Linked DNA regions of Cricetulus griseus. The protein of the gene in region 2 purifies or fractionates together with the protein of the main gene of each other region. This does not show direct contact. Links are inferred from orthologs where the notes say so. Each region holds a gene or a part of one and is shown on either strand. Other genes may lie near its edges.

Region 1 (3,500 bases), on a different chromosome or scaffold from region 2:
TGTGAGTAACATTCTTGGGAAGTAGCTCCTGTAAAAACCATAAGTGGCATGAACACAGTTTTTAAGCATTTAAATAACTACATTTTATCAATAAATGGAAACTAGAATTAAGTTTGTGTTTTTCTTACCACATACACGGTGCGTTCCTCCTCATCCTTTGGTCTCTCTCCCAAGGGCTTTTTTCTCCGGATTCTGGTCCCTTCTAAGTCCAACTTTTAAAAAAGATAATTGAGTTTTTAAAGTAACAGTTTTGTGTGATAATTTGATTAACTTGTAGTGAAAAAAATTACCTCTACTACAGATGAGCTTTTCAATGCTCTGGCTATTAGCTTCCCATCTGTGGTCAATTTCTTCATTTTGTTGAAAGACACCAGAAGAGAGATGTCCACATCTAGTTGCAAAATGTGGTAGATACTGTTAGCTTTAAAAATTGTGTGTGTGTGTGTTGCTGAGCTTATGATTTTAAGAATCATAATAAAAACAGGCACTGGCCCCATAAACTTGGATGCTTTGGTATTATTGCCTGATAAGGCCTGAGAGTTACTTTAGAGGGAGCAAACTTACATCCATCTCTAGATTTTTCGATTTGCTCTCGAAGAAACCTGTCCTTGTGAAGGTTTGCATCCCCGAACCAGAAGTCCACTTGCTTGGCAATGTCTGCAAGCACCTGTTTAACCCTGGAGCGTTTTTTTTTTTCTTCTTTTCTCTTCTCAGTGCTTTCCTGCATAGTTTTTTGATTTTCAGTTTCCATTCTGTAAAGTAATATAGGAGTTAATATCACCTATTTTTCTGGACAAGAGGGCCTGAGGCCTTAGTTAAGTGTGTGTTTTGCAAGATGCTTCACATGCATTGAGGCACCTGTCTCCTTCCTGAGCCTACTTCCAGCCTTAAAGCAAAAACCAATGTCGGGTGTGTGTGGCTTGGTGGTCCTCTCAGCAGACCATGGTTCAATTCCCAGCACCCACCTGTCTTAAGTTCCAAGGGATTTGATACCTTCGTGGAGGCTAGCAAGTTCATAAGTTGATTCAGGCAGGCCAGCCTGAATACACTCAGCATCCACGTGCAATGGACCTCTTTAAAAGATCCCACCCACTTACGGGGTAAGGGAGGGCAGATAGGACTTTTCCTGTCTCCCTTTTCTCTTCCAGTCCTCTCGGTCTCTTTCCCTTTCTGTTTCTCTTTACATTATTTCCTTACCTCTTTTCTGTTTCCTTCCCCTCCCCCTCTGCTTTCTAATAAAGCTTACTTAAGCTCTGTCTGCCTGGCATGTTTGTCCCCTGCCTCAGTCACCCTCTCCTGCTATGGTTCCCCATGCTTTATCATAACAAAGCTCTTCATGCATCTCACCTAAATCTTAATAAAATATGCATTTTACCAGTCAACTTTTGGCATTTTCAAAGTATAAGCTGGCCAGCCAAGTACCAGTTTTGAAAGCATACAAGTAATAAGGCATCTGCTTGAATGCTGAAGACACAGAATGCAGCTAGCTGCACATCAAAACTAATAACTGGTAAAACAGTGAGGTAAATAATATATAAGCAGAGGCCTCAGATTTCACACCTGCCATTCTAGTGGAACTTTACTATTAGAGCTAATGTCTGCCCAACCCCAGTGCTTCCCTGACATCCCAGTAGCTCTTACATTCAGAAATGCTTTCCTTGTAAATAGTTTCTTCATACGGTTTTAAGAGTTTCCCTTTTCTGATTCCTTCTACTGTGTTTTACCCTCATATAGTGTCTATGACTAGACTCATATCTTGGCCTCTGTTGTTGACTCATTCTTTCTGGGGGTCCTGGCTAATGAGTATTGGGCTATACACCTCACAAAACACAGTTATTAGTTCCCCATTCCAATAGTCAATTGTTCAAACTCCATTTGTTCATTTAGAAGAGTTAACATAATAAAAGAATACTAAAATTTTACCAGATTTTTACCACTTTGACAAATACCAACTACAAAACAAAAAGACCAGAAAGTATTCTCAATTCTTCCTACTGTACACTATCAGTTGTACTAGCACTGCCTTTAAAATACAGCCTGAACATTAACACTTCTCATTCTAAATAAACCACTTGGTCCAAGTTATTATTATGTTTCATTTGAACTATCCAAGATCTTCCTTAATAGTCTAATTGCTTCTATTACTGCTTTCTCTCTCTTTTTTTTAAAAGATTTATTTATTTATTATATATACAGTGTTCTGCCTGTATATATGACTGCACATCAGGAGAGGGCACCAGATCTCATTACAGATGGTTGTGAGCCACCATGTGGTTGCTGGAAATTGAACTCTGGAAGAGCAAGTAGTACTTTTAACCGCTGAGCCATCTCTCAAGTCACCCTACTACTGCTTTCTTATAATCAATTTTTGTACAGGATAATTACTTAAATATGTAAATCAGAACAATTCTTTGTACAAACATTCCCAAAGACTTAGCACATTCAGCACAGAGCCCAAAGACCTTACAGTGGTTTACTAGATCCTATTTAATCTGACCTGGACATACTTCTCCAATGGTTCCTTCTACAACTTTTCAGCAGGCTTATAACATGTTATCCCTAAGTTCCTAAAATATGTTAAAGCCATTTCCATCTCCAGACCTTTGTTCTTTCTGTTGTTGTTGTTTTGTTTTTTTTTTTCAATACACCTATATAGTATAATATTCACCCAGGTCTATGAATGCCACTGTTTCAGAGGCTTTTTTTTTTTTTTTTCATCCAACCTAAAATAGTCCCCTTGATGACAAGCTGTACTATATTTCCAACATTTCTTTCTATGCTCATCACCCTCTGGAATCAACAGCTTTCTTATCTATCTACTCCACTATAATCTAACTATATAGAGGCAGAAGCTTCAACTTGGTTACTACATATTTGTGAAGTAGTTAGATTTATTTAAAAGTACCTGGAGATAGGCATGGTGGTATACACCTAAATCCCAGCCAACATTCATGAGGTACTGGCAAGTGTACCTCTAAATTTGAAGTCAGCCTGGTCTATATAATGAAAATAAGGTATTAAGCATTTCAAATCCTTTTCTAAGGTGGTAAAAATATAGAATACAATGATCACATAGCAGACTCTACTGTTAAGTGTTAATTATAAAGGTCAGACTTCAAACTCTACAGTTCTTTCCCATTAAAGCCCACCATCTAAAGCAGTGATTCTTAACCTGTGGATCAAGACCCCTTCTGGGTCACATATCAGATACTTACATTACAATTCATAAGAGTAGCAAAATTACAGTTAAGAAGTAGCAACAGAATAATTTTATGGTTGGGGGTCACTACAACATGAACTGTATGGAAGGTTCACATCGTTAGGAAGGTTGAGAACCACTAGTGGAATTTATAGCCACACTACTTTATAGCCACCAGTTCTAAAGCAAAGCAGACAGAACAGTAAAAACACAAGAATGTCACAGCTACCAGTCCACTCTCTTAGCCCAGAGGCCCTCCTTTGTGTTTCTCTTAAGATTCCAGTTCAGAGTGATCAAATAC
Region 2 (4,354 bases):
ATCTTGTCACTCGCTCTGGAGACCAGGCTGGCCTCAAACTCAGAGATCCGACTGCCTCTGCCTTCCGAGTGCTGGGATTAAAGGTGTGCGCCACCAACGCCCGGCCTGGCATTTCATTTCTTAAAAATCACATTTATTTTATTTATGGCAAGTGTGGTGGTCAGATGACAACTTTTTGGGAGTTGGTTTTCTTTCAGTCTTGTGGGTTCCAGAGATCAAACACAGGCCATCAGGCATGCTTGGCAGCAAGTGCCTTTATCCATTGAGCCTTCTTACCAGCCCAAATTCTGGAATATTTTGTGTGTGTGTGTGTGTGTGTGTGTGTGTGTGTGTGTGTGAAAATGATTGTATGAGCTAGTATTTTCCTCTAAAGAGGGATATTATTAGTTTTTACCTCCTTAATTTTCTCTCATAATTTTTAATAACCATTGACATACAAAAAAGGTGACTGTCCATATTACTGGGGAGGTAGAATTGTCCTCTGGAAGAGGTCGGACCTAAAATCATTCTCTTCATTTGTGGAGTGGACCATGGTTCATGCTAGGAATCAAATAATCCCTTCAGTTACAGCAGAGTCAGGTTTTTCTGTCGTGGCCCAGAACATAGTTTGAATTTTTCTTTCTATTTACATCCATTAAGCGACTCTCTGTTTTCCAAACACAGTCTATTTTCCTGTCTTTACAGTTCTCCTTGGAACATACATTTAACTCCAATTTCATCCCTTCCTCTGGAAATTATCTCAAGGCTGAGTTCACCCCTTCCGAGCTTTCCCAACCAGCTTGTGGTTCCCCTCTTCCGAATAGCCATTACACTTAGTACTTTCTAATGAACTTGCCTGCTTTAAATATATTTGTGTTTACTCTTCTATTGTAGAGGCCGGCTAAGTTTCTTTGTGTGTATTTAATTTTGTTTATTCACTTGTCAAATGTGTGTTTGAAAAGTACGAGAAACGGTGTGATTGCAGTCAGTGGGTTTCCACAAAATTGAAAGAAAACTGTAAAAAGGGCTGGAGAGATAGATGGCCACGCAGTTAAAGAGAACTTAACTGCTCTTGAGGAGGACCTGCACTTACGTGAATTCCCAGCACTCAAGTCAGGTGAGTCACAATAACTCCACAATCACTGGCCTCCGCGATCACTGACCTCTGCGGGCACCTACACTCATGTACACACACGCAAACACACTCGTACACCTAAAAACAATAATCTTCTTAAAAAAGAATTTATATATATGTATATATAAATGCTACTAGATTGCTGTACTAATAGGTATGCAAACCCGCAAGGCCGGCAGAGAAAGAAGCCGCGCATGCGCAACGCAGGCACTGAAGGCGCCCTAGTGAGGGCCGTGCGTGCGTCGTACGGGCGCGAGCCGGTGCCCGGGGATTGCGCGGAGTCGCGCCCAAGTGGCGCGTGCGTGGGGCGGAGCCTGCGGCCCTTGGCGCGACTCTAGGTTCTCCTTCGGCTCTGGTGGTTGCTCAGTAGCTGCTCGGCGTGGAGGGAGACGGTCCCCGTCTGAGTTATGGATTTTGAAAATCTTTTCTCAAAACCCCCCAATCCGGCCCTCGGTAAAAAACGTGTCGCCGACTCTGAGAAAAGGTGATCCACATGTTTTCGTCCTTTGCAGGGCACCGCCCGGGCTCCGCCCCCTCGCTCCTTCGGGAAGCCGCGAGCCTGGGCTAGCGCGTGGGCGGAGGCCGGAGCGGAGCGGTCGCGAGGGGAAGTGGGATGGAAGTCGGAGGGGGACCGGGGCGAGGACAGTGGCCGGGCAGCGGGAGGAGGCTCCGGCCTCTGCGAATCTGCCCCCAGGGGCCGGCTGCTCCCCTTGCACGTGCGCTTAACCTGTTTCCTGTCACTGTCTCAGCTCAGAGGCGGCTTTGCCCGGACTCCTGGTTCTTGAGAGTTTGAAGGATACAGAAACACTGCCCTGCCAGTGATCCCGAACCAAAAATCCCAGAATAAAGCAGCAAGCACCATTTCGGCTTAGTATTTCCGTTAAATTGGAAAAGCATGTTGTTAATGTCGTACCTAGCGCAGAGTGCAGACTTTCTGTACAGGTACCCATTCACTTTTCAGTCTTTCGAGTTGAAAGCGCGTCCCCACACTCCATCTTCTCTCCTAAACCCTTGTCTTGTATGTTCCTATCTTGCCTCAGTGGAAACTTGACACACATCCTTCACGAGTTTTTTTCCCCATCCTCAATACAGATACATTTCCAGTGCTGGGTCGGCCACACCTTCAATCCCAGCACTTGAGGGGCCAAGGCAGGCAGACCTTTGAATCTGAGACCAGTCTGGTCTACATAGCCAGTTGCAAGCCAGCCTGGGCTGCTACATAGTGAAACCCTATCTCAAGGGGAAAGGGAGTATGTGTTCACTTCTCTGTCTCTACCTTAGTGGGAACTATTACTCTAATTGGGCTACATCAAGGGCTTTACTGTGTGCTTCATGTGAAATATAGCCCCCACAGATGAGAATATTGAAGCATAGAGAGCCTAAGTCACCTGCTGAGATTGTATAGTGGGGGTGGCAGATCTAAGATTAAGGTGCTCCAGTAGTGTGACTTCAGTACGTAGGATTTCATCACCCAGCTTCTAAAGCACAATTAATCAGGAAAATTAGGTCCTATAGACACACTGTAAAGAAATGGACAGATTGCTTGCAGGTGATAACATTTAAGAACAACAGAAATGAATTGATAATTTTAACTTGTATGAGAACTGAGCAAGTTTTTAAAAATAGCTAATAGTTTGAGAATATATTAGGCAAAATACTTGTTTACTAGAATTTGGCTGAAATATGTAAAAGACACTTGGATTTGCCAAAAGATAGTTGAAGTATGGCATGGAAGTAAGGTATCTATTCATGTGCTGCTTTTTACTTTGGCTTTAGGTCTTTTTCAAGATTTTAGGTTTCTGTATTTTTCTCTCAGTTTATCTTTTGATTTTTGCCTGCAGTTTTTTCAGTGTATTGAAACACTTTGTTTTAATTTATTTTATATGTATGATTTCTTTTGCCTGCATCTATGTCTCTGCACCACATGTGTGCCTTGCCCTTGGAGGCCAGAAGAGAGCATTGGCTCCCATGAAACAGGTGTTAACCATGTTTGTTAACCATCATGTAGGTCCTCTGGAAGAGCAGCCAGCGCTCTTAACAACTAAGCCATTTCTCCGACCTGATAAGAGTGTGTGTGTACGATCTTGCAAGTGAGTCAGTCTTTAAGTTTCTGGCTTTTTGCTCATTATGGGAATACTCATTCATTTAAAGCAATTTTTAATGAGTTCCTGCTACATAAAACACATCATTCTAGGTCATGGTGATAGAACCATAAATGGAATGTAGAAAAGTACTAATGCTCATGAATTGTAATTGTGGTGGATGACAGATACATGGTATTAAAGATAATGGAAACCACAGGGCAAATGGAAACTGAGTGAGGAGTTAAGAAGTACTTGTGGAATAATGAGGATAGTGTAGATAGTATTCAAAGAAGACAGTTAAGGAAAAGCCTTAACGAAAGTCACCTGTTTGGTTGTTAAGGGCAGGAAGTTGGAGACTAGGATGTTGGAATCAGCTATATACAGATGATACTAGAAGCCAGGAGACTGAAAGACGTCACCAAGAATGAAAGTAGAGAAAGAAAGATGAGGACTGGCTTTGTTAAGAGTTGCAAAGATGAGGAGCCAAGTGAGGAGATAAAGAAGTAGCAACTGGGCATGGTGTCACACCTATAATCCCAGTCATAGGGAGGCAGAAGCAGATAGATTGGGGCCAGCCTGGTCTACATAGTGACACTGGTAGTTTGAATGTAGTTTGTCCCCATCAGCTCATAGGGAGTGATACTATCAGGAGATGTGGCTTTGTTGGAGTATATGTGGCCTTGTTGGAGGTCGTGTGTCACTGTGGGGGTAGGCTTTGAGGTCTCCTTTGCTCAAGCTACACCCAGTAACAGTTCACTTTCTGTTGCCTGTGGATCAGGGTGTAGAACTCTCAGCTCCTTCAACACCATGTCTGCCTGCATGCTTCCATATCCTGCCATGATGATAATGGACTAAACTTCTGAACCTGTAAGCCACCCCAATTAAATGTTTCCTTTCATAAGAATTGCTGTGATCCTGGTGTCTCTTCACAGCAATAGAAACCCTAACTAAGATCCCATTTTTTAAAAAAAGTAGCAGCAGCAATAGGGGAAAAGACAGGGACAGCTCAGTTCCACTGGAGCTGGCTTACTAGCTTATGGGTGAGTCAAGAAATAGGACTGAGAATCATGGCCCTTAATGGAACAGTGAAGCGGAGAGGGCAGGGTAGAATGACAGGGTGTGATTCAAGACACGGTTCTCCATTTCTGATGTTTTC

The links.
Region 1: the proteins of Zc3h8 (region 2) and Larp7 purify together in Homo sapiens (affinity purification with mass spectrometry; 4 studies listed by BioGRID and IntAct, counting the BioPlex papers as one, with this or other methods). This does not show direct contact. The link is inferred for Cricetulus griseus from reciprocal best matches to the Homo sapiens genes ZC3H8 and LARP7.

Annotation. Positions count from the first base shown.
Region 1 is NW_023276806.1:31,273,890-31,277,389, reverse strand, and holds part of Larp7 (la-related protein 7), read right to left. Parts: intron 753-3,500; 5' UTR 752-752; coding exon 565-751; intron 392-564; coding exon 291-391; intron 213-290; coding exon 129-212; intron 29-128; coding exon 1-28. UniProt on the Homo sapiens protein: RNA-binding protein that specifically binds distinct small nuclear RNA (snRNAs) and regulates their processing and function.
Region 2 is NC_048599.1:49,598,680-49,603,033, forward strand, and holds the start of Zc3h8 (zinc finger CCCH domain-containing protein 8), read left to right. Parts: upstream 1-1,404; 5' UTR 1,405-1,521; coding exon 1,522-1,598; intron 1,599-1,863; exon of another isoform or gene 1,864-2,009; coding exon of another isoform or gene 2,010-2,056; intron 2,057-4,354.